6 linked regions of the Nothobranchius furzeri genome follow. The protein of the gene in region 6 purifies or fractionates together with the protein of the main gene of each other region. This does not show direct contact. Links are inferred from orthologs where the notes say so. Each region holds a gene or a part of one and is shown on either strand. Other genes may lie near its edges.

Region 1 (3,982 bases), on a different chromosome or scaffold from region 6:
TTTAATGTTTAGAGCAGCAGGAACTCCGAGAGGCTGCAGGCGCATCAGTGAGTTTGCACCGCTGCGCAGGGGGAGAGGGCTGAAGCAGAAACTACCGTTGTTAAAAGAAATGTGTTTAACTTTGAAAATGTGGGCGCAATTCTAATTGTCAAAAACTCCAGCGAACCATTAGTTCATTTTGCTCAAATAGAAATTGAGGCCTGCCTCTAATTCTGGTCCTCCTTCCAATAAAGGCCTGGAGCTTGATGAGCTTGAGTCAAATACAGACCCGGGCCTGTATTAGAGGATTTACGGTAGCTTATTTCACCCATCCCTATGTTGTCATTCTAGAGGAACTGGAGAAGACTCACTTCCAGTATGGAGCTGGTTTACAGAACTTCACCCACCTTTTTCTTCTGCATGTGTCGTAGGATTTCTAGCGTCTGTGTGATCTGTGGAATCTGGTTTTTCAACCTATTAAATAAGAATGATTTTAGTTAAATAAATAAGCATCCAGCTTTCCTACTTTACAGATCTACCAGGTGCACACATATCAATTCATGCACGTATTAATGTAACCCGAATAACTCGTAGTGTTTGTATTTCTGTTTTACCGGAGTTTCTTCTGGGACAGGTTGAGCTCCATGTACTTATATTTCTGGTACTGCTCATCCAGCTTCCTCAGAGCAGAGTCTGCCGTCTCGTTGCCAGGCAGCTTCATAAAAGAGTCGACATCCTCCTGGAAAACAGCAAACAGGGATTAAAAAACAGAAAGGCCTATATAACTACTCCACAAATGAGACTTTCAATACCACAAAGTCAAATGTCTAAAGTCTCAGTGAGATGTGTTTGCAGCGCCGTCTGGTGGACAAAATATGAAATTACACTTTTCTGAATTGGCCTTTGTGTTTTTAACATGGAAGCACAAATAAGGTCTTACCATTTCCTAAAATACTTTTCCGTTTGTTATACCTATAAGTTCAAAGTCACAATAAATGAAACCATAAAACAGGTTAGTGAGAATTAAAACCCTAAATTAGTGTCAGATTAAACAAATAAATGTAACAAACCAAAAAAATTACAAACATTTTTATAAATACAAATATAATATAATCTTTTGTTTAAAATAAATATGATCTTTTAGCTTTTCTGTTAAAAATGAGAAAAAATGTGTGATTTAACAGTTAAGTACTTTTCACAGAAAGTTTTGATTGAACAGTTTAAATTTGATTTGACAGCATCAGAAGTAAATCGCCTGGGCACTGGTAAAAAAAAAAGTTACTGTATTCTATAAAATGGTTTGATGCACAGATAATAAAAGAAAAAATCTATTTATCTCATTACATTAATGCATTTGTTGTGTTAAAGACAAAGACAAAAGAAAATGAGAATTTCTATACTCATGTAAGGTGCTGTAATCTGAGAATGTGTCCAGGTGTAAACCTTCCTCCTGCCATGAAGAAAAATCACTGAAGTAATTAATAAATTACCCAAATTGTTAATATGATGCCGTTTATCCACTCATCGTAACCAAAGAACATCACCTACAAATCTGGTAGCATTACAAGTATCTATAATTTGATTTTTAACCCTTTTAGTCTGTCATTGGTATTTTTCATTCATTTACACATTAAACATAATGGTATTCTGAACTTTTGATCTAATTGTGACATTATTGTTCACTCCAATGCGTGTTATTTTCCCTTCATATTAGGGCTGAAAATGAACTCAATAATCAAGCCTCAATATATTGAGGTTAAGAAATGTACAATTATTATTGAAGTGCAGTTTGGTTCTTGACACTGGATAGGCCATTGTATTTGTTGTTTTGGAGACGGGGTCTACGTTATTGTTTTTGGTGCAATATTTTCTAAAAGAGTGAAAGCACTTTTATATTTATTTATTTTTTGTTTGTTTTATTTATTTAGAAGTTCAGGGTCTGGACATTCCCATGTTAAATAAAGGTTTAATTGTTGCATTTTAATGGGTGTCCTTGCATTATTATGATATATTAACATTACATAAGTGGTTATTTTGGTCTTGATAATGTCAACAATAATATCATTTATCGTCAATAATTTGTTGGACAATATATCGTCCAACAAATTCTGTTATCGTCCCAGGCCTACTTTCTATCTTTATTTTTCTGTTTTAATTTAAATGAGAATCGAATCAAGATAAATTGGCCAGATTATACAAAAATCTCACATTTTTAATACCATCTCAAAACATTAGCAAAGTTAATATCATTAGCAGATTAAAGTGGAAATCTTTCAATGTAATATTTAAAAAAATCGCTGAGCTGTGCTCGTTAATGCTCTCTATGACAGGGCACGTCAGACAAGATGCTAGTACTGTTCTGAGTAATGGACAAGCTAGTTAGCTAGCTAGCTAACTAAAGACACAGTTGACTCTGGCAGGTAAGTCCAGCTGAAGGACCTCAGAAACACCAGGTGAGCTGAATATTACAGGCAGACAGTGATGTCCATAGATGGAAGCGAGCAGCCGCCCAACATGCACACACAGCAGGACACTCTGTTAGCTCACCTGCTAACTTAGCCTCCTAGCTGAGTCAGAATTGCGCCGCTGACAAACCGGTCACACCAAATATACATTACATCCGTTACAAACATGTAACACCGTCAGAAGCGTCTGGTTATACGCACCACAAACACTGCTTCGGGGATACCGAGGTGCTTTTTTTTGTTCGCCTGTGAAGCATTGCTGTTGTCTATGGTCGCCGTCATGTTGGAGAGGCTTCTTTCGTCCTGACGCACGCGCATGCGTACAAGAAGTCGGAGTGGTAAAGGGGAAGCTCTGCTGCCTCTACTGGGGACCCACTGAGACTACAACATTTTCTGTCCTTTTTTTTTTTACCTCCACCAAGGAGGTTATGTTTTTTACAGTTATGCAAAAGGAAATCCGCTTGGATCTTATTTTGAAATTTGCCAGATGCTTTACACAATTAGCCACACTATACTCTGTGTTTGATTCCCTGTCTTGCCAGGTTTGAACTACTGATCTTGATGCATACTGGAAGCATAGTACATAAATGTAGACTTGGCATGACACTACACTTCTGGGACGCATCTGAAATGTACCGGTGTGTGCCCAGTGGAGACAAAGTGGAGACAAAAAGAGACTATGATGGTGGCTATTAACTGTATGTTGCCCTCACGCACTGAGTAGAAAGCCAGAGTTAGTGCCTTGTTCACACTTGATAAAAGAGATAGGCAGATTAATTGTGTTTCTTCTGCAGGACTGATGGCATTGCTGGTAAATGAGCTGAACTAAAAAGGTAGAGGTCTCAAGTAACTGGTTCAAAACAACAGTAGAACTCAGGGCTATGTTTACAGTGAAAGTAAGAGCATTCCCATACCAACAACGTGAAGGGAACTCAAGGGACTGCAACAGCTGTGTACCCATAAGAAAATCACTAATCAGTGAGGCTAACTGGTAAAAAAGGCTTTACTTTGCTAGGGAGCATGAAGATTGGACTAGTGGAAGGTCATGTGGTCTGATGAGTCCAGATGGACCCTGTTCTAGTGATGGGTTCATCAGGGTAAGAAGAGAGGCGGATGAAATAATGCACCCATCATGCCTAGTGCCTACTGTACAAGCCTGTGGGGGCAGTGCTATGATCTGGGGTTGCTGCAGTTGGTCAGGTCTAGGTTCAGCAACAGGATGTGCTCCAAGAATGAGGTCAGATGACTACCTAAATATACTGAATGACCAGGTTATTCGAACTTCCCTGATGGAACGAGCATATTCCAAAATGATAATACCAGGATTCATCAGATAGTGAAGGAGTAGTTCACACATCCGGAAACAGCAGGAAGGAAAATATGTAAAAGAACCCTTATTCATAATCAAAAATAAAAACTTGAATCATTAAAAATTTTCTCTGATCGGCAGCAGACACAGGCCTGCTGTGTGAGGCTAAGTAGCTCAGAACCAGACTGGTAGGGAGGAAGAGAGCATCTGGTCTGATAGGAGAAACAAT
Region 2 (4,281 bases), on a different chromosome or scaffold from region 6:
TTAAAAACACAAAAGAGTAATTTATTAGAGTACTCGATTAATCGATAAAAGATTCGATAGAGTACTCGATTACAAAAATATTCGATAGCTGCATCCCGCATCACGATTATTTCATATTAGTTTGTTTTCATCGATAAATGGAAGATGTCAGATAATTGCTTTTTAGTTTTATGTTTTTTTTATCAAAAGCGTAATCGACACAACCTGCTGTCCCTCAAAATCTCTCCATTCACAACAGGTTAGGACAAAACATTTAAACATTTAAGAAGATTTAACAAAGTAAAACATCTGTTTCCTCGTTCAACACCACGCCTCAGGCTGAGAAGAACACGCTTTGCAAAAACTCACAAAATCTAAAAAAGTACTGAAAACCTACAGGAAACATAACGTAATAATAAAATCCATAATGGGTTCATATATGAGTGTTTAATGTCTCTGAGCAGCTCTAGAGTCCGATATTTATGCCACAGTTGAAGGGTGTCAGAAATAACACCAAATGAAATGTTTGACTTAATTTCATTTGAACCCAGTGGTTCATTTCTGAAATGTTGGAGAATGAATCAAGTTCTGTTTGATGCAGAAAATAATAAAACATAAAACAAATTCTACACTTCCAATAATATTTAAGATGTGTGTTTTATTCTTTCTGATAATAACACCAGCAGAAGGCTGTGGGCTGGATTAGGATTAAATTACCCAGCTGATGGAGCTCCTTCACTAACCAGCTAACTAACCTTTCCACTAACCTGTCCTGTGGGACCCTCACCATGTGACCCTCATGTCCATGCTGTCTCTGGAGGAGCAGATGGGAGACAAGACCTCCTGTAACTTAAAATGAACCAAAGCTTCCTCCCAGCTTCTCTTTAAGCTGAATTTAACATCAAATTATCATCATGACACAAAAGAATAAAGTGGAACAAGAACTTCTATCTTCTATCTCTCTCCTCTTAATTTCTCCGTGTCCCTAAATAAAAGACGATCACGCTGCAGCCACCGTCATTGACCCCGCCCCCTCCCCAAGACCGGATCTCCCAGCATCACAACACTCGGTCTGACTGAGCGCTTCCAGGAGAAATAATAATTAAATTATGAAAATAATAACGCGTGTTTGGAGCATCGGTTTGGAGGAGCGTCCTCCGATCCTCTCTCTCCCTCTCTCAGTTGCTGTGCGAGCGGAGCGCGCCGTGTGACAACCCACTCAATTGACGTAATTCAGGGCCCAAATCCAACAGAACTAGTCGGGCTGATTCGGTTCCGGTTCGGTCTCAGGTTAGAACTCAAGCGCTCAGCCCTGCAGAACCACATTAAGGCGGAACCACTTGGTAAATGTGGAGGACGCTCACTCTGACAGATTTGGACGCTGCGCTGGTGCCGCTGTTAAAAAAACAAAACTACATTCCACTATAATCGATGATGGCGTACTCTTCTACGATGCAGAATCGTTTATGTCCGCATCCCGATGCATCGATTATTTTCCTCAGCTCTAACCTCGATAGTTCCGGGTTTGTTTCGACACCTTCGAGCTGCACAGCGACTTGAATTCGGTTTTCTCTCTGATGTTTTAAGAGAAGAGCAAAACGAGTTACTGAGTTACGTGGATCCACTCACTTTAGCAGCTTCTAGCATCTCTTGTGTTTCTTCCTGGGAGTGGCTGATGAAGACACCACCTATCTGGTAGGGGATCAACAGAGTGTCGTCGTCTAACAGCATCAGGTCGTCGCTGGCATCCTGAAGGTTCTGCAGCGTTCTCTGAAAGAGGACACCACACACAAAGCAATCGGTGAGGGCAGTTCATAGATTACTGACTGCTCCAGTAGCTCTTCCAGGACACATCAGACTCCTTACACATTAAATAACAGGGTTCTACATCAACTTGCGTGTATGACTTTGGCATTTTAGAGGAAACTGCCGAAGTCAAACCCCACCGGTGTTGATCTGCATAAGTGGCAACTGTTCCATGTAGGCACTGACGTTCTGGAGGTTAGAGCTACCAGTGTGCCTCTGAGCCACAAAGCCACCATCTGATGGAGGTCTGAGTTTACTCTTTAAAAAGTCATGTTGATCTTCCTTTAGCCAGCCAGAAACAACAAACACTGCGATCAGTTCCTGACAGATGTAAGAAATCTACTCAACATTACCCAGGCTGGATAAAAACCTGAAATAAGCCAGCATCGGGTTAAGGTTACAGGAAACGAGGATGCTTCAGCAGAAAACACCAAACTCACCTTCTTTGATTCGATTTCATTTTTGAGCTCCGTCATCCGACTCGTGTTTCTGGCGAATTTGTTGATTTTCTGCTGATCTTCGAACGTGACAACCACGTCTTCAACAGCCTGCAAACCGGAAGATGACGTTAATTGTAAATAACTAAACATTTCACAAGCGCACCGGGTCTGAGGTCCGGTCGACTCCCACAGAGCTGGTTAGTGACAAACCGATAAACCGTCGTCAGCTTCAGCCGCTGCCCGGCAGGGTGGTTGTAGCCTCTGTGCTAGCTACATTAGCTCCACTCACTCACATGAACGGGTGGTGAGAATGGTTAAAATAAACCCCAAAAACTGTGACTTCTGACATCAAATACTCCTCTGCTGTTTCCATTCATATCTGCGACTAAAGCGGCGCATGAATTTAATTACAGGAAAACGTAAAATTCCTTTAAAAACGAACTTACAACAGGACTCTTCATGACGGTAGCTGCCATCTTGACTTCTTCTGCTGTTGTCAGAAAGCAGCGCTCAATAGAGAGCCGCTGCGACACCACCACCTGGCGGTAGCACTTCAGCATTACATGCTGTGCGCATGTGACAAAGATTGAATACAAATACTTACAGAGTGGTCTTTTTTAAGTATTATTAACCAAATAATGACACAGATCAATGATGATACAATGATACAGTGCTCTGAAGAGACCCCCACACTAGAGAAGTGGTTCCAACAAATTCCTGGACAAACATCTGACAACTCAGTCTGGAAGAGTGCAGTTCTAGGACCAGCTAAGAACCTTCAAGCTGCCAGGGGTCTCATTTATCAAACATTGTGTAGAATCCTTACTAAAACCGTACTTAAGCTCAGCAAAAAAAAAGTACTTATGCCAAGTAGGTTTGTGATCTATCAAACATGGAGTACACACAGCTGCACGCAATTGCAACTTCATAAATCAGAGACTATCTAGATAGGTTCTCAGCTGCTTTTTAGTCACATCCCGCCCTCACCACGCCCACTTACTGCCATAAATAGTCAATGCAAAGTGCCTTGTGGATCCCATGCGTATACATAAGCCGGCTGTTGCAGCGCTCCGCCAATGACATGGCGACCGTAGATCAAGGCAGATCAAGAAAGCGCTATTACACACAAGCAGAAGTTGAGGTACCTGTGGGTGAGGTGGAGAAATGTAAGGAAGTACTTTTGCAAAACAAATAAGAGAAAATCCACGGAGTGGCACAGCGTTGCTGAAGCCGTCAATGCTGAGTTCTTCAGAGAGATCTGTGGCTGATATAAAAAAATGATCCAATCAGGATTCAGTCCCCAGACTCCCAGGCAGCGCTGGACTGACCATAGGGCATAGCGGGCAACTGCCCGCTGGGCCGACCCTTTCATCTTTTATGGGCCGGTGTCTGTTTTTTTTTTGTTTTGTTTTTTTTCCTGGCTTCTAGTTGTTGCGGACAACTTGTCCGCGCCACCCCACGCGACGCCTCGTAAAAGTTGGTGGATTGGCCAATTGGTAATAATACACTCTGGGCTGGACCAATAGCCAGAGGTCTGATGCACCCGCCAGTTGTTTGTGAATCTCAGTAAACAGACAGACGAGCTTTACAAAATGGAGAACAAAAAACGGAAAGGAGGAGCGGAGAAAATTCGACTAAAAAAGAAACTGGCCCTTCAGGCTGATGCTGGCACATGTGTTAAAATCTCACAGTTGTTTGGTAGTGAAGGTTCAAGTAAAATCAATTTAGGAAGTGATGGAGCCTCAGCCCAGCGACAGGTTGGAGAAGAAAAGAGGGAGGAGGAGGAGAAACCCGAGCCGGTGTTGTGCCATAAATTGACTCGCTGCCAAAAAATGATTAGCCACCGCGGGATCGCGCACGGTTAGGTAATTGCATTTCTAGACAAAATTCCCCAGGATTTCGCCCTAAAACTCGGCATATCTAGCAATATGGACATTCAGAAAGCAAAGATAACCTCTTTCGGTACTTAAACAGATGTTTATCGCGGATATTAGTGTGGCAGTGTTGGTGGCACCCTGCGCGGGAGCACGAGGACGTCCTTGTGGAAAGAGGGAGG
Region 3 (3,902 bases), on a different chromosome or scaffold from region 6:
TTCTAGAATGGTTCGTTTGAAATAAGTCTGAAAACACGTTTCAGAGACTGGCTTTTACTTTGAAAGCGTTCATAAGCACTATTTCCGTAAAGCTTTGGAAGTGTGTGCAGTGTAAAAACCGAGTGAGAGCTCACTGTACTGTCGAGTTGAGGCAGGCTCTGCCGCAATGACATAATCTGGTGAGCATGAGAAACCTCTTCCTTTTCTCCATTTTTCCTTTTGTGTACTGGCTCCTGTTCATGAGTCACGTTTAATTATTTGTTGTTTTTCAGTCCTTTACATCCTTTTCGCAAAAATGTACATCATTTTTAAAGCTTTGTGCGTTTTCAAAGCTGACATACCAATAAATTTCGATTGTGTATGCTTAATGACAATGCAAAAGGATCTAATTCTGACATTAACTTTTTTTTAATGTCTTTAAAAATTTCATCCCAGTGCAACAGGATTTATATGCTAGATGAGAAAGATAAATGTTTTTACTTATGTCAGCAACTTCAAAATCCTTTTTATGGCATTTTAATTTATTTGCTGAATGTATGACAGCATTTTAAAAAACATCTGCAAGGCAAATGACCTTAATGAGGACATAAACAACTGAACAGAGAAGCAGATGACCATGATTATTACAACTTCCAGGAAATTACAGTTAAACAAGAAAACTAAAAGGAACATTATGAAAAGTTCAGTTTTCCACCTAAATTCCTTGACTTGAGCTAGTTTTCATTTCTTCTTCAGTGCTGCAGAAATAACAGGGCACTGCTGTCCCTGTCCATCCTCAAAGCATTATGAGACCAGAACTCCTGCTCCACTTTTGGATCCTCCTCCTTCATTGTCTTGCGAGTTTGCTGCCGACTGGCCCTGCGCCTCTCCTTCACCCTCTCCAACCAGCCGGATATTGTAACGTTCTCTGTACTCTGTGAGCTCCTGTCCTTTTGCCTGCATCTGTGTGTTGATGGTCTCGATTATTTTGGAAATCTATTAGAACAGAGGAAGATGGATGAGAAATCAGACAAACGAAACATCCTGCAGTTGACACCTAAACGTTTATTTTTGACTTCAAAACCTATAAACAAAACTCTTTCTTGTGAAATTATGTAGATTAACTCGATGTACACTTATTGTTATTTTGGTGTTAAATAAGTGATTTAAAATGTCTCAGTTTATTCTCCTGATCATTCCTGTGACCGAAATAAATAACATTACCTTTTCTTTGTTGTTTTCTAAGGCTGGTAGAACTTCTTTTACTGTCCTTTCCACCAACACTCCTCCAACCAGACGAAAGCATTTCCTGGAAGGATCCACTTCCTTTAGGGTCTCAATTACTAAACTAAATATGAAAAGAAATAGCAAAGGTATTAAACGGTCTGTCTTTTGGATTGTTTCCCCTACAAAATCTTGTGAAACATTTGTGTCTAGAACATAAATGTAGATGATGCTCCACCAACCTGTGCTCGTTGACATCCATCTCCAGCTCAGCAGCTTTCGAAGCCATACTACGCTGCTCCTGACGCATCCTCTGAAATGTTGCTACCACCTGAAAACAAATGGAATTTGATCATTTTTTTATTAAGTATAATAAATAAATAAAAAACAGATGCTGCTACTCCTTAGTTGTCTACTGAAACCAAACTCTTAAAGTCATAACTGGTAATTAGCATATTACAATTTTGTTTAAAAGATTATTAAATAAATGTACATAATGCAGCAACTCATTAATGGTAAAGGTTTAATTTTATTATCAGATTTAATCTACAACTTTTTAGAAGTAGTGGACATAAACTTTGTTTATTTGATGGTTTTAATCACCATTTACGCAGAGTCATAGACTTTATATGTAAGAAAATAACAAAAAGGTTATGATACAATATGGCAATATTTACATTTTATTATTATTTTTGTAAAACCTGATCAATAAAGGTTTTGACACATATTTGAAGGTATTGCTCGACTCTAATGTTGCCATTATTGTTGTTAAAGGATATATTACGGACTACAGTGCACTGTATTACAGACATTACAGCAGTGATTTGTTTAATATGGTCTGAGTAATAATTTATTAGGGTTAGGTGGACAAAAATAGCTTTATGCTTAGTCACACCAAACCAAACACATTATTTCAAAACCGTAAATACATAGACTAACGTAAAAATTGTTAGAAGTAAGAGTTTGATGTAAACTCTCATAATGTCCTTATTAGACTCCTAACGGTTCCCGATGTCCAAATTTGGGTTTTGAGCCAGATGATCGCGACAGGAATGCTAATGTTAGCTTAGACTAGCTAGGGGCTATACTTTTAGTTCTGCTTTACCAAACTGAGCCAAACAACAACAGAAATAATTGTAACGACAAATGAAACCTTTTTATATAATTGAGAGTACCTGTTCAGCTGAAAGTCCGGACTGTTTTCCGCCGGCGCTGCTGCTGGACTTGCTACCCGTGCTGCTACCGTTCGCTGCCATCTTGGAAGGGTGTTGCCAATTAGGACCCTGCAGCTATCTAATGAGATTGCCTGAGTGCAAATGCGGCTTGTAAAACATCTAAATTACTTTGCAACCATCTTTTACTTTTTCATGTAAAAACTCAGAAGCAGAACCGCAAACAAAATACAACTTAATTCAACATAAAATAAAATGGCATTTGAAGGAATAATTTCTATTAACTTCCATCAACTTTGTATTGTTTTTGTTTTTTCGTGCATACGCTTTTTTATTTTATGTTTATGTTTATTTATTTGGCAGAGGCTTTTATCCAAAGTGACTTGCAATTTATAACGTATGGGGCATGTTTTGATCTGTGGGGGAAACAGGAGTACCCGGAGGAAACCCACGCATGAATGGGGAGAACACGCAACACGCAGAAAGGCCGCAGCCGAGTTTCGAACCTGCAACCTTCGTGCTGCGAGGCAACAGTGCTAACAACTGCGCCACCATGCAGCCCATTTTCCGAATCTAGCTTATTTATTAAAGCAGTTTCTGCATCGTGGAGTTTTAGACGTGTTTTTTCTCTTTCAAATATTCTTTATTTCAGCCAAAGGACATATTAATCATTAAATTAATTAATTTGCACACCGCCAAGACAAGACAAGACAGCTTTATTTGTATAGCACATTTCCTATACAAAGGTAACTTAATGTGCTTTACAGCAGCCTATAGGTAACATCAAAAGCAAAACAAAAATGAACAAAAATAACAAAAGTTTTCATGTTAGACAATAATCAGAAGCACACCGTACATAAATTAAAATCAATAATTAAAAACAAATGAAGAAATACATGTAAATTTTTAATACAAAAATACACTTAAATGCATTTATCGACATTTTTTTATTTTTATAATTCAAACGCTGTAAAGGACTGCTGAAAGCGGATTAACCTCATACAGACCTCTAGATTTTTATTTGCTCTGGGGTTTTCAGAAGATTGAACACATTAAATGTGTTGTTTGAATTTGTTTTCAAAAGCAACAATGCATGGTTTAGTGCACCTGAACTTAAATTTATTAATGTAAAACTTTGCCATAATAATCAGAATGATTACGAAAAGAGTTGTAATTGAGAAACACACAATATTATTGTCAATATGTCTTCAAAGTTGACTGAAATGCGACGTATACGTGCTGTTTATATCTTATTAGTGAACTAGACCAAACGTTTGCTTTGCAAAATAATATATTTATTCAGTCTGGTTTAAGGGTATTTTTGATAGTTATTTATAAACCTGTGTTATATTTGAATGATTATGATGCATTTATAATACTTTAAAAACAATTTTAGGAGTATAAAAACATTGCCAACTCAAAAACTATTCCACATCCTAAAACAATGGACTTTTCATTACATTTAAAGTTTTATTTTATTTTATTTATTTATTTTTGTTTTTTTGTTATTACCACATATTGTTATAA
Region 4 (4,033 bases), on a different chromosome or scaffold from region 6:
GGTCTGAGTTACATTTCTGTAACCCTGCTGAAGGAGTCATCACCTGAAGTTTTCACCTTTCCACTTGAAAAAAATCCATATAATGTCTTCCTAATGAATTTTCACTGGCCGGGAAGCCAGTTTGCTGCTAAATAAAATAGCCAATCGTAGTTGAGTCCTTCTAGCCAATCAGAGGCGAGAAAGGCGGGATCTTTCATGGACACCCTACGGTTCCAAATGACACGCCCAGCACAGCCGAAATATCGCGTGTGCTCTTGTGAGAAAACCTGTCCTTTACAAAAAAGGGTCAGAAAAGCACTTTTTTAATTAATTTTCCAATACAAATGACTTTCATGGCCTAAATAATATAATGTGATGTAGATATCCACGGTAGTAACGGGTGATGACTCCTTTAAGGGTCATTCTAGCACATACTTACTCAAGAAAATGATTAAAAATATGAAAACTTTACATCGTATCCCTTTAAGGTACGTTTCAACATAAATGATTGTGTGTCCGAAACAGAATGCCTTGTAGGAAAATTATTTTTGTTGTTGATTCGATCCAGCCGTCACATTTTTCTGATTTTTCAAGCTCCACTCTCAAAGATGGAGGTTGAGGATTAGGAGGAGAGGAGGAATAACCAGGATAACTGAACCTGAACGGGAGGTGTTCCTGCTCCTGCTGAGCCAGTGTGAAGGCGGTGTGAGCGCCATGGCTTCTCCAAAGTTTAGCAGGTTTTTCATTTGTCTCATTGCTTTTGTATTTTTCAAATTTTTTTGTTTGTTTGTTTCCAGGTTTAAATATGCGATTGTCTCTGTGTCCAATACAATTAATCCTTCGTTCGGCTGACAGCTGGGATTAGTCAGCATATTTTAATATGTGACACATTGGGTGTCGAGTATCAAAATACATAATCCTCACAGTCAGAAATATGGAATTTGTGTTTTTTAATTTTAATTAACTCACAATCTCTGGAAATATGTAATGATGAGAATAACAAGCAAAATTAGTAAAACTATTATAATTCTGGATTCGATTGTTTTTTTTTGTATTTTCTGATTTTGTATTTGATTCATTTAATTCCAGCAGCAGGTATTTACTCAGATTTACTGAAACATTCCTCTCTGGTTCTAACTGGGAATGCCGGTTTTCCAGTCTAATTCTCCAGTAAAACAAACTGCTGGTCTTTGTGGATGAAGTTTTCCGTTCCTCTCCAACTTCATCTCTTCAGTGCTGCGTTTTGAGTGGAAAAGTGACACGCAAAAAATATGCTTCCGTCAGTGCACACTCAAGAGGTGAAACGTATCATCCTAACCACCGCCATGCTAGAACCCGGAATCGCTTAGTGAAGGATTCGGTTATGTCAAACACGCTAATTTAAGAAAGTCCCTTCATGTTCAACTAAAAATGAGACTTCCTGGTTAAATAAATGGTTTTAAAAGCGACTGTCAGCAGCTTCAACCCACAAGAAAATAAGGAACTATGGTGGATCCTGTTTAACTCACTCACTGCGCTGTTTTCTGATCAGAAATCCCCTGGCTGCCAGCGTTTTTGAGCGTTTTTACTGATTTTGAAGAGTCAGAACGTTGTGCTCTATGATCATGCAAACGCCAAAACTATCGAAAGAAAGAGTAGACTCACTTTTTACATCAGGAAGAATCACCGTGTTTCTAGCGTTAACCATTCTTTCACAATCTGTTGTCCAAGTGTGAGCTGCAGACGCTTTTCTGGTTAGCGCCTCGCTTTTTTCACAGCAGCGTCCCAAAACAATATCCCAATTCATGGATTTTCTCCTTCCTGATCAGGTGACGTGTGACACACGGACTAAGATCAGCTTTAGAGACGTCATGTTTACTCTCATGGTGCGGGGGCTCGATCCCACGCCCACCCCGTTAAAACAATGCAACTGACAGCTTTAGTTGTCAATTGCAGCGAGCCACTGGATTTAAAATGACGTCTTTAGCTGTCAATGGCAATAAATGATAAGGGCCAACTGTTTTTTTAATATTCGCATTAATTTGATGATCTCATCTCTGCGTCTGGCATTGCTCAGAATTACATTTTATGTTTGTTTCCATTAAGATTCCTGCCTGAGTCTGAGTAAAATCAGGGTTTAACCGGCTTCGTCCACCTGAAATTGTAAAAACAAGATCAAATCTAACCATCTTTCACCACTGTGACACAGACATTGGTGTGCAGGTGAGCTGTAGAACAGTAAAGCAGCAGCTTGACTTACACTTCCCCGTTGATGTACTCCAGTCTTTTAGCCACGGTGGCTTTGGCCTCATCCAGATCTTGTTTCACTAAAACAGGACCGATAAGTTTATAGATGGTGTTTGAGCTGTCGAGCAGATCCAGCTCCTGGAAACACAGGCGAGTCATGTCTGGATTATTACACACAAACCGTTGTGATATACAGCCATACAGGACTGAAGTTACCTCTTTAACAATGTTGTTCTCTGTCAGCTGCGTCTCCAGTTTCTGTCTGGCTGACATGTTCTTGCTAACATCTGAAAAAACACGCAGGTGGGTTAAAAAACTATTCTTATGGCCAAAAAGCTAACGTTACTTCATGCACACATAGCGGCTACATGCCCTCTAAAACTTGTGATAGCACATAAAGAAAACCCACCTTTCTGCATTTGTGCATACTTTTCTACTTCCGCTTTTAATTTCTTCTGAATGGCGTCTGCCATGTTTGCTTATTTTATCTTACACAACTGTAAAAGTTTAATTATTGTAACAGAGCGCTTAGCAAGGCAACATGAGAGAACAGCGCTAGCTAACAGGAAGAAGCTACGCAGAGACCGGATGTAGTGGAAGATTCAGGGCACACTCGGATATTCTGGTTTTAAATCGAGGTCAGAATAAAATTATGTGTATCTGGACTTATTTTGACGCAAACGCTCACTAAACCATGAAAAGCTCTTTCTAGTTATACATCTAATCTTCAATTTTCGATCAAATATATTGGTTGGAGATCAATGAGTTTGGTTAGAAACATGTAATTTAGGATGTGATTCGAATGCACCATTTGACGTCTGACAGCTTTCTTTGGGTATTTTCAGCTCACAAAAATCTAAATAGAGGGCAAAAACACATAAATAAAATGATTTTACAGATATCAGGCTGCGAATAATAATATTTAACGAACATAAATAATCATTTGGCAGGTAGGTTTTGGTTTTGACGCAGTGACAGTTGCGTCAGTTTACGACTGTTTTACGACGGTGCCCACAGTCCCTCTGAGCCCTGCTTCGAGATGGCTTCTTCGTTTTGGAAAGGTGTTGTCGGCATCGGACTCTTTGCCTTGGCCCACGCAGCGTTCTCGGCAGCACAGCGTGAGTTTCAGCGCCAAGATGTTAGACCGATGTTTTCCTGTGTTGGTTAGTTCTGGTTGGACTGAGTCTCCACCGAGTGAAGGACCGCGGGGCCTGTGGCCACAGCAGCTTAGCTAGCTCCGCTAGAGCCTCCAACGGAGGAAGACTTTAATCTGTACCTGCTCGCTTCTGTGTGACTGCCGTCGTTTAATGTTTGGATTAAGAGTATTCTGTGAGTTATTGTCGATATTACTCTGATTAAATCCCAACTCTCCCATCAGATCGGTCATACATGCGGCTCACAGAGAAGGAGCACGAAACGCTGCCTATCGACGTGAGTAACCCATCTCTGGTCTTCAGAGAGAGCCCTGCTTTTTATTTGTCTTCACCGTCGTCTTGCTCCCACCACAGATCGTTCTGCAGACATTATTATCGTTTGTGATGACCTGCTACGGGATCGTTCACATCGCTGGAGAGTTCAAGGACATGGACGCGTCCTCGGAGCTGAAAAACAAGTGAGTAGATTCCCTTTACAGCCTCCGGTACCGGATCTGTTTGTGACCCGGTTCGATTTCAGCTCTGTGGAACATCCCTCCACAGGGACACTCTCAACTCCCATAAGGCAGTTCGGCAGATACACTAGTTAGGGATGGACAACCACCAGAGCTCTGTTCGACGAGACTAACATCTCTCGGTTCTTTGTCTTATTTAGGTTGAAAAACACTAATTTG
Region 5 (4,095 bases), on a different chromosome or scaffold from region 6:
CATCCTTAAAAAATGACAGAAATATGGTGTTCTGTTAGTAAACTTACATTTATGAATAAAGAATTTAGCTAAGAGTATTAACATATTTATCATAAAAAACATTTATCATTCTTCATGGGGAACTTAAAGAAACAGAATAAAACATTTTCCCATCGTAAAGAAAACTCCCTTAAAATATGGACAGTAACAAACCTGCTAAATTCCTTCCAGAATCTTTGTGTAAAAGAACAGCACCAAAAAAGATGTGTCACAGTTTCTGGATGATCCCCACAGAAAGTACAATTAGTATTTATGTCCCTTAGTTTTGAGTTTTAACCACAGTGACACAAGTGAACGTGAACTTTCTGTTGTGCAAATGTCGTCCTCCTGTGGCTGTTTGGTGGCACTACATCTGGTTAGCAATGGCTTCACAAATTTTTCCATTAGTTGCTAAAAAATGAAGAAAACGGAACATCTGTGATATGAAAGGAATCAAAATAAAAAACATGACTCAGTAAAAGTATAGATATGCAGCTCATGTTTGAAAGGTTTTGTGTTTTATGACTCAAGTTGATTAAATTTGGTTGTTTTAAAATATCACAAATCAATTTGTATATTTAAATATATACATATTAAACATAGATAAGCAGGTTTTCTTAAGGATTGAAAAAAAATTGTGTTCTAATGAAAAAGACCCAGTTCATCTACCTGGTGTGAAAATGATGACATTGACGGTGTATCTTTCTTTTTTTTAGATCACAGATGCTCGAACAAAAATTATGATTTTATTCAATTACTTCGATAGAAGGAATTTTCATTTAAATAAAATGTAGCAATTAACACATATTAATTATGACCAATAAGATGTGATATTCCATACAAATATGAAATATCAATCTGATTGATCTTTGAATGTTTAATCAGAAGATTCTAGGGTCCTTTGCTTATTCAGGGACCAAAAACACACCTCGTATAAATTCAGAGTCAGTGTATAGTTTATAAAATGAATTTTATTATTGCATTCATTATTAGGGGAATATTTCATATAAACTCCCATAAACAGAATATGTTGCCACCAAGTCAAATTACCGATTACAAATAACTGTATATTAAAAGTTTATTTAGACAAAAAAAAGTTAAAAACAACTGCATTTGTTGTTATTTTTGTGAATTTGGTTGACTTTTATTTTTATTTAATAACTTAAACATTTACTGCTACATCAAAATGCATTACTTATTTTTGAAACAAAAATGTGTATCCTTTAAAAATAAAACGTCTGTAAAAGGATGAAAGAGATGGCCATAGAGGTACATTTCTTTCCGGTTGCGTCATGGACAAATTTACATTTGTCCACATGGGGGCGGTAATGAGACCGTATTCCATCGTATTAGGCGGAAGCAGAACTGCGTCAGTGCAGGTTGGTCATCACGCTTTCAACATGGCGGTGAATCTTTCAGACCTCTCCATGCCTCAGTTAGAAGGATTAAAAACCCAACTGGATCAGGTATTATCATCAGTAACATGCTGTATTGGAAGTATTTGTATTTATGTAGCTAAATGCACGAGGTATTGTTAAATAGGAGACCGATGCGGGCTAAACACCCCCGTTAGCGTTCTGTGCCGTAGACAACCGGTGGTGTTGCTAACGGTGTTTCTGTCCCGGGTTGAATCTTTTTGTACATTTTGATGTTTCTTTCAGGAGGTTGAGTTCTTGACGTCTTCGATAAGTCAGTTGAAAGTTGTCCAGGCCAAGTATGTTGACGCGAAAGACAGCTTGAATGTACTGAACCAAAACAATAAAGGTGCGTTTTTAAATCACAATCTGACACAAACTGTTGGCTCCCGAAATGTTTATCCATACCTCTCACAAGAACTACTACTATAAAAGAATGACATTTAAAACAATCGGTACGATTATGATTTTTCATTGTGGTCTGGTGATATGTAGAGTTTAAAAAGTAATTCAATTCAGTTTAATAATACTTTATTAATCCCAGAGGGAAATTAGAGTTTCAGTACACACAATTCTGAGATCAGACATACATACATACATACATGACAAGAATTGGTCGCACAAGAGGGTTTATATGAGGAGATATGCACACAGACTTCAGACATTACACAACATAAGTGTCCACTAGGTGGGGAGGTAGGGTTGGGACTTTCCTCAGGTGCGTGCAGCCGCATGGGGGACAGAGGAGGGACATTAATGGGTTGGAGAGCACAGTGACTCCTAGAAATGGTTCCTTCACTGTGCCTTCACCTGTCAGTCCCGCCCAGGCTGGGAGAGGGAGAAAGAGTTGCCTATTTATTTGGATTGTGACCCATTTCTTTTCTCACAAACAGGAAAGGAATTGCTGGTGCCTCTTACAAGCTCTGTATCCTTTTTAAATTATCCAACATTCATTTTATTTAACCACTGGCATAAAATACATATATGAAACATCCAGGTGAAAGGAGCTGTAAGGTTTTGTCCATCGTTGTGTTATTTACTATCTTCCATCTACTTTCGGTTTCTTTTTTCTAACTTGAAACAGTTCTTCAGCAACACGTTGTTTAACATCTTTACACATTAAAATCATACATTTATTCACACAACTTAGCATCTTAGTGAAGGTGGATTCTTTTAGCATGTTTGTCCTTTACAGTTTTCTCTTCAGATGTATGTCCCTGGAACATTAAGTGATGTGGAACATGTCCTAGTTGACGTGGGGACAGGATATTATGTTGAAAAGGTAATATATATTTAGATATATATTATAAATAAATAAAACAGATTTTAATTAAGAAGAAGCTATTTAAACATGCGTGTTTGCTTCTTTAGAACGTGGAGGACTCAAAAGCTTTCTTTAAGCGCAAAATAGACTTTCTCACAAAGCAGATGGAGAAAATTCAGCCGGCTCTTCAGGAAAAGCATGCTGTGAAACAAGGTAAGGTTAATTGTGTGAATTTGACATTTAAAATCTTTTTTTTTCAGCATTTATAGATGTTCTGCAATCTGTTAGCTCTTTGATTATGTATTGGGAATTAATTGCTGTCAACTACTAACATTTTAATTGATCTCAATAGCTGTAAACCGACTGAGTTATATAGTCAGTTTTGTGTTTGCTATTGTTTATTAGCTGTGGTGTCAGTTGAATCAGAATGTTAAACAGTTTGAGACACATGTACGTTGATTATGTTTTATGAATTCTGTGAAGATCTGATTGTTTAAGAATTTGCGAACAGATGTGAAAACACATGTTTGATAAAAGATAAAAGGGTCAGTGTGTAGTTTTTAATCGTTAATCTCTGGAAATATCCTTCAAAATTAAGCTATTTATAAAACCAGATAACGTATATAATTTCAGATACAAACGTAACTTTAGGCATACATATTTTAGAACAACATTAAAGTCATTTTGTATTTCTGTTACGGGTGTAAGAGTTTGGAATAAGCTAAGTGGGGATCTAAAGCAAAGTCCCTCATTGCATACGTTTAAAGATAAGTATAAAACAATTATACTAACTAATCACATGGAGGAGGAGGAAAAGTTGTAAGGGTGCTGCATTTGATTGTAATTGTCTATGAACTGGGAGCTGTGAATATGGGGGGGGGGGGGGGGGGGAAACATAAAAAATGTAAATTTTGCTTGTGTGATTGAGGATAAAACATGTTATAAGAAAATGGCTATGACAGTGTAGGGAAGAGAATTTTTTTGTTTTTATCTTCCTTGAAATTTGATTTTGGGAGGGGGGGGGGGGGTGATTATACAAGCTACCAGAGCTTTTTTCCCTTCCTATTGAACATGTTTCTATATATATATATATATATATATATGCATATACATATGTATGGGTTCCTTTTTGAATACTTTAATTTGTCTATTGATTTACATGTTCAATAAAGAAAGAAATGAAAAAATGTTGACAATGACAAAGTAAATGATACCCAGTAGTTGATTAATATTGGTGGCTTCTCAACATATAACCATATAAATCTGGGGCCGGGCCTAAGTCTCTGGGCGACACCATATTAGATGCCATGTTTCCTTCTACGGGAGCCCTTAAGGACAAAATGCAATTACTGATTTGTAATAAACGATTACAAAATTTTCACCATTCATAAACATTGT
Region 6 (4,087 bases):
AAGTAAGTTACAAGTCTTTCCAGTCAAGTCAAAGACAACCAAGTCCAAGTCGAGTCCAAAGTCAATGATATGGAAGTCCAAGTCAAGTCCAAGTCCTTAACTTTGAATTTTCAAGTCATAATCAAGTCATCTGTCCAACTTCAATTGAACCCTCCTACTGTCCTAATGGGTGACCCCGCCAGGAAAGTTGACCATTGAGCAGGAATGACGGTTTATCCCTTGAGGTCCATGTGGCAGCAGGGGTGAGGTCATATAAACCATCAACCCTGCTCAATGGTCAACGTTCCTGGCGGGGCCACCCATTAGGACAGTGGGAGGGTTAATGACAATGATAATAAATAAATTCCAGAAATAAAGCTTCTTTAAAATCCATTTATTTGCTGAAACAAGTAAAAAGTGCAACTGAAATAGATTACAAACAAAGTGCTGCTGCATTTAGCAGAACAAGATCAAACCCAGAACGAAGAATGATGTAAGATTTTTGTTCATGTCATGTCCCTTTTGTGCTAAAATATGAAAAACGCTCAAGTCGTCATCAAGTCAACAGATGCAAGTCGATTCATATCGCAAGTCATTGGAGTTCAAGTCTAAGTCAAGTCGTAAGTCTTTATAGATTTTATCAAGTCAGAAGTCATTAAAATAAACACTCGAGTCTGACTCAAGTCCAAGTCGTGTGACTCGAGTCCACACCTCTGTTAAATCGTGTTGTTATAATTGAATACGACACATTTACCGGTTCTGGACAAATTGTGTTGCTTTGTTCAAAAAGTACAAAGTACACAAACCATGAAAGCAAATTAAAACAGTATTTAAAATTGGTATCATACGTAAGCTCACATCAAAAACGTGCCTCAACAGGCTAAAAGCTATTATTTTAAAAATGTCATCTTTTCTGAAAAAAAAAAAATTAACTAATGTAATTTGTGCTTTAATTCTATTTAGAAGGGGGGTTCAGTAAGATCTTATTTAAAACAAACTTTTATTAATTTTCTGCCGAAAGATAATTCCTCCTTTTTAGAAGTCTTTTGACTAATATTTTATTATTTTACCATTTAGAATTTGCTACAGTCCCTTGATTGCTCCATATACAAATTGTTTGTATAACACTGGCTGGTATTTTTTGCTCGATCGGAATCTGGCAAATTGCAGCGTCGCCACCCAAAATTAAATAAATACCACAGAGCCCTTAGTGTCCAATGTAAAGTCCCGCCCTCTTTAGACGTTCTCTATTCCTATTGGTTAGTTTTCTGGTCCTCCTCTCCTTTAATTGGTCCGCCGCTTGGCACTCAACTAAAACATGGAAGTGATTGAGGAAGCTGCAGACAAAACAACTGTATAATCGTGCAGGTTGGCGATTTAAAAAAGAGTGGACCGTAGGGGCTTTGCTCACGACTTGGACGCATTGTACGCAATTTGTAAACGGGGTTTCGAAGTGTGAAGTTTTGTTTTCATGTGGATGAAGTTATGGTTTTACGGCTCAAGAGAAACCTAGAGCCTCACGTAACGTTAACTAGCCGACGCCCCTGTGGGTTAGGCTGCTCCTGTCAAGTAAGTTATTCTTTGTTACCATGTAACGTCAATGTTTAAATGCTGTAATCATCCGCTTCAGTTGGGTTCGTCATCAGGCTTCTCTAAACACTAAAAGCTACAGGTTTGGTCTAAAAGAGTTCAATCCAGGCCTCAAGGTGTGAAGTAAACGAGGAACAATGCACTGCTAAAAATAAAGGAAACACAAAAATAAGACACCCTAGATCTGAATGAATGAAGTATCGTTATTAATCTCATGAGGGATCTCCTCCGAGATCTGGACTAAAGCATCCACCAACTTCTGGACAGTGTGTGGCAACGTGGTGTTGGTGGATGGAGCGAGATGATGTTCCAGATGTGCTCAATTAGACTCAGTTCAGGGAAACGGGCGGGCCAGTCCATAGCATCAGTGCCTTGTCAGGTGAAACTGACTGTTGCTTCCTAAGTGGACAATTTGGTTTCACAGAAGTGTGATTGACTTGGAATTACATTGTGCAGTTTATGCGTTCACTTTATTTTCTTGAGCAGTGCATTTAAACCAGGAGCACGTACGAGCTATCTCATATACTACATAAATTAATTAATGAAAAGGCAATAAAATAAAGATAAAATAATATTTTTAAGATGATTAATGTCTCCGTGCTGTTGGAATACACACACACACACACACACACACACACACACACACTCTATGTGTAACTTTTTCACAGGCTGGCAAAGTATGGGATTTTTTCCAAGTTCGGATTAGTACAGAAGAAAATGAAAAGACTTGAAACTCTACGTTTATGTTTATTCCCAGAAAAAAAATATGACTGAATAATGCATTATGGCAGTCAATGGCATAGATGCCATTAATTACAGTTAACAGCTGTGTATTAAACCTTAACAGAAGATCATTTTGAATTAAATTTCAAAAACAGACAGAAAAATGAATGAAAATAATAAAATAAGATCCAGAGTTGTCTAAAATTTGTGCAAACTCTTAATGCTTTTTTAGTGATTCCATTAATTTTTTTAAAATGACATCTGAGGTTACGTCTTATTTCTTCATAGACAGTTAAATGAACATTTTTACCTATTCAATAATCCCAGGTGTACCTCTGCTCAAATAATTTTTAAATGTTACCACAAACATTTTTTTCTTTGATTTAGCAAAACAATTTACTAAGTAAACATAATAACTTCAGAACATATTATTAAGGTTCACCAACAGTCTATGTTTTCATGGTTTACGTCTGGCCCATTTCATCAGTTGGTAAGAGTGTTTAATACCTTTTTTAAATAAGCAGAGAAACTTTGTCTTTATAAACATGTAAAAACTTAAAACGCTTATCAATCACAACATTGACTTCATAATCATTTATGTAATAATAAAATAATATTTGACAGATATTCAGAGAAGGACATGGGAAACAATATAACTTACGGACTCACTTTGGTACTACAGAAACATGTCCACTGAGCGCTGTGGAGATGCCAAAAGCACCATGTCGCCTGAAAAAATGGCCACCGAAAACAGCAGAGAGAGCCAGAACCAGCGTGAGGCCGAGGCAGCAGGCAGCACCTCAGACACCAGCACAGCAGCAACAAACCTGGCTTTGCTTAAAGCGCACTCTCTAGATGTGAAGTTCGATGTTGGGGAGGAGTACGATATCATAGAAACCATTGGTACTGGTGCTTATGGCGTCGTTTCATCGGCCAGAAGAAGGGACAACGGTAAGGAAGATGTCTTTAAAGAGTTTGGAAAATGTCCTCTGTTTGAAATAAGTCACGATGAAATGTTCTACATGTGCACTCCACAGGCAAGCAGGTGGCGATAAAGAAGATCTCCAATGCTTTTGAAGTGGTAACAAATGCTAAACGAACATTAAGAGAGCTGAAGATTCTCAAGCATTTCAAACATGACAACATTATTGCCATCAAAGACATCCTACAGCCGAACCTTCCCCACTCTGCCTTTAAGTCCGTGTATGTAATGTACTTTATTGTTTTTGTGATGCCAACTCTGCACATATCTGAACATTACACTGTTGCAAACACAAGATCCTTAGTATTTGGTCAGCTGCTTGTCTAAGTCATCTCTGTGTGTGCAGGTATGTGGTGTTGGACCTCATGGAGAGTGACCTACACCAGATCATTCACTCTGCGCAGACTCTAACCCCTGAGCACACGCGTTACTTCCTGTACCAGCTCCTCCGTGGCCTCAAATACGTGCACTCTGCCAATGTCATCCACCGCGACCTCAAACCCTCCAACCTGTTGGTGAATGAAAACTGTGAGCTGAAAATTGGTGACTTTGGCATGGCGAGGGGTCTGAGTTCACACCCAGAGGAGTCTCACTCCTTCATGACGGAGTACGTGGCGACCCGATGGTACCGTGCTCCTGAGCTGCTTCTGTCTTTGAACCATTACAGTTTGGCCATTGACATGTGGTCTGTGGGCTGCATCTTCGCTGAAATGTTGGGCCGTAAACAGCTTTTTCCTGGGAAACATTATGTGCACCAGCTCCAGCTGATTTTGAGTGTGCTAGGCACTCCTCCTGAGGATTTGATCAGCACCA

Evidence for each region.
Region 1: the proteins of mapk7 (region 6) and vbp1 purify together in Homo sapiens (affinity purification with mass spectrometry; 3 studies listed by BioGRID and IntAct, with this or other methods). This does not show direct contact. The link is inferred for Nothobranchius furzeri from reciprocal best matches to the Homo sapiens genes MAPK7 and VBP1.
Region 2: the proteins of mapk7 (region 6) and pfdn4 purify together in Homo sapiens (affinity purification with mass spectrometry; 3 studies listed by BioGRID and IntAct, with this or other methods). This does not show direct contact. The link is inferred for Nothobranchius furzeri from reciprocal best matches to the Homo sapiens genes MAPK7 and PFDN4.
Region 3: the proteins of mapk7 (region 6) and pfdn2 purify together in Homo sapiens (affinity purification with mass spectrometry; 3 studies listed by BioGRID and IntAct, with this or other methods). This does not show direct contact. The link is inferred for Nothobranchius furzeri from reciprocal best matches to the Homo sapiens genes MAPK7 and PFDN2.
Region 4: the proteins of mapk7 (region 6) and pfdn6 purify together in Homo sapiens (affinity purification with mass spectrometry; 3 studies listed by BioGRID and IntAct, with this or other methods). This does not show direct contact. The link is inferred for Nothobranchius furzeri from reciprocal best matches to the Homo sapiens genes MAPK7 and PFDN6.
Region 5: the proteins of mapk7 (region 6) and pfdn5 purify together in Homo sapiens (affinity purification with mass spectrometry; 3 studies listed by BioGRID and IntAct, with this or other methods). This does not show direct contact. The link is inferred for Nothobranchius furzeri from reciprocal best matches to the Homo sapiens genes MAPK7 and PFDN5.

The regions. Positions count from the first base shown.
Region 1 is NC_091742.1:80,080,558-80,084,539, forward strand, and holds the start of vbp1 (prefoldin subunit 3), read right to left. Parts: upstream 2,801-3,982; 5' UTR 2,763-2,800; coding exon 2,646-2,762; exon of another isoform or gene 2,527-2,645; intron 719-2,526; coding exon 594-718; intron 454-593; coding exon 387-453; intron 1-386. UniProt on the Homo sapiens protein: Binds specifically to cytosolic chaperonin (c-CPN) and transfers target proteins to it. Binds to nascent polypeptide chain and promotes folding in an environment in which there are many competing pathways for nonnative proteins.
Region 2 is NC_091755.1:40,025,428-40,029,708, forward strand, and holds the start of pfdn4 (prefoldin subunit 4), read right to left. Parts: upstream 2,801-4,281; 5' UTR 2,786-2,800; coding exon 2,672-2,785; intron 2,334-2,671; coding exon 2,226-2,333; intron 1,750-2,225; coding exon 1,609-1,749; intron 1-1,608. UniProt on the Homo sapiens protein: Binds specifically to cytosolic chaperonin (c-CPN) and transfers target proteins to it. Binds to nascent polypeptide chain and promotes folding in an environment in which there are many competing pathways for nonnative proteins.
Region 3 is NC_091742.1:74,820,983-74,824,884, reverse strand, and holds pfdn2 (prefoldin subunit 2), read right to left. Parts: upstream 2,682-3,902; 5' UTR 2,460-2,681; coding exon 2,379-2,459; intron 1,535-2,378; coding exon 1,446-1,534; intron 1,328-1,445; coding exon 1,204-1,327; intron 976-1,203; coding exon 784-975; 3' UTR 501-783; downstream 1-500. UniProt on the Homo sapiens protein: Binds specifically to cytosolic chaperonin (c-CPN) and transfers target proteins to it. Binds to nascent polypeptide chain and promotes folding in an environment in which there are many competing pathways for nonnative proteins.
Region 4 is NC_091741.1:28,885,127-28,889,159, forward strand, and holds the start of pfdn6 (prefoldin subunit 6), read right to left. Parts: upstream 2,801-4,033; 5' UTR 2,679-2,800; coding exon 2,615-2,678; intron 2,493-2,614; coding exon 2,422-2,492; intron 2,344-2,421; coding exon 2,219-2,343; intron 1-2,218. Other genes in the region: mmgt1 (ER membrane protein complex subunit 5), read left to right, coding at 3,245-3,323, 3,584-3,636, 3,714-3,817. UniProt on the Homo sapiens protein: Binds specifically to cytosolic chaperonin (c-CPN) and transfers target proteins to it. Binds to nascent polypeptide chain and promotes folding in an environment in which there are many competing pathways for nonnative proteins.
Region 5 is NC_091743.1:50,185,884-50,189,978, reverse strand, and holds the start of pfdn5 (prefoldin subunit 5), read left to right. Parts: upstream 1-1,295; 5' UTR 1,296-1,310; coding exon 1,311-1,484; intron 1,485-1,679; coding exon 1,680-1,782; intron 1,783-2,326; coding exon 2,327-2,358; intron 2,359-2,640; coding exon 2,641-2,715; intron 2,716-2,804; coding exon 2,805-2,910; intron 2,911-4,095. UniProt on the Homo sapiens protein: Binds specifically to cytosolic chaperonin (c-CPN) and transfers target proteins to it. Binds to nascent polypeptide chain and promotes folding in an environment in which there are many competing pathways for nonnative proteins.
Region 6 is NC_091756.1:34,357,320-34,361,406, reverse strand, and holds the start of mapk7 (mitogen-activated protein kinase 7), read left to right. Parts: upstream 1-1,287; 5' UTR 1,288-1,548; intron 1,549-2,974; 5' UTR 2,975-2,978; coding exon 2,979-3,243; intron 3,244-3,314; coding exon of another isoform or gene 3,315-3,329; coding exon 3,330-3,495; intron 3,496-3,620; coding exon 3,621-4,087. UniProt on the Homo sapiens protein: Plays a role in various cellular processes such as proliferation, differentiation and cell survival. The upstream activator of MAPK7 is the MAPK kinase MAP2K5.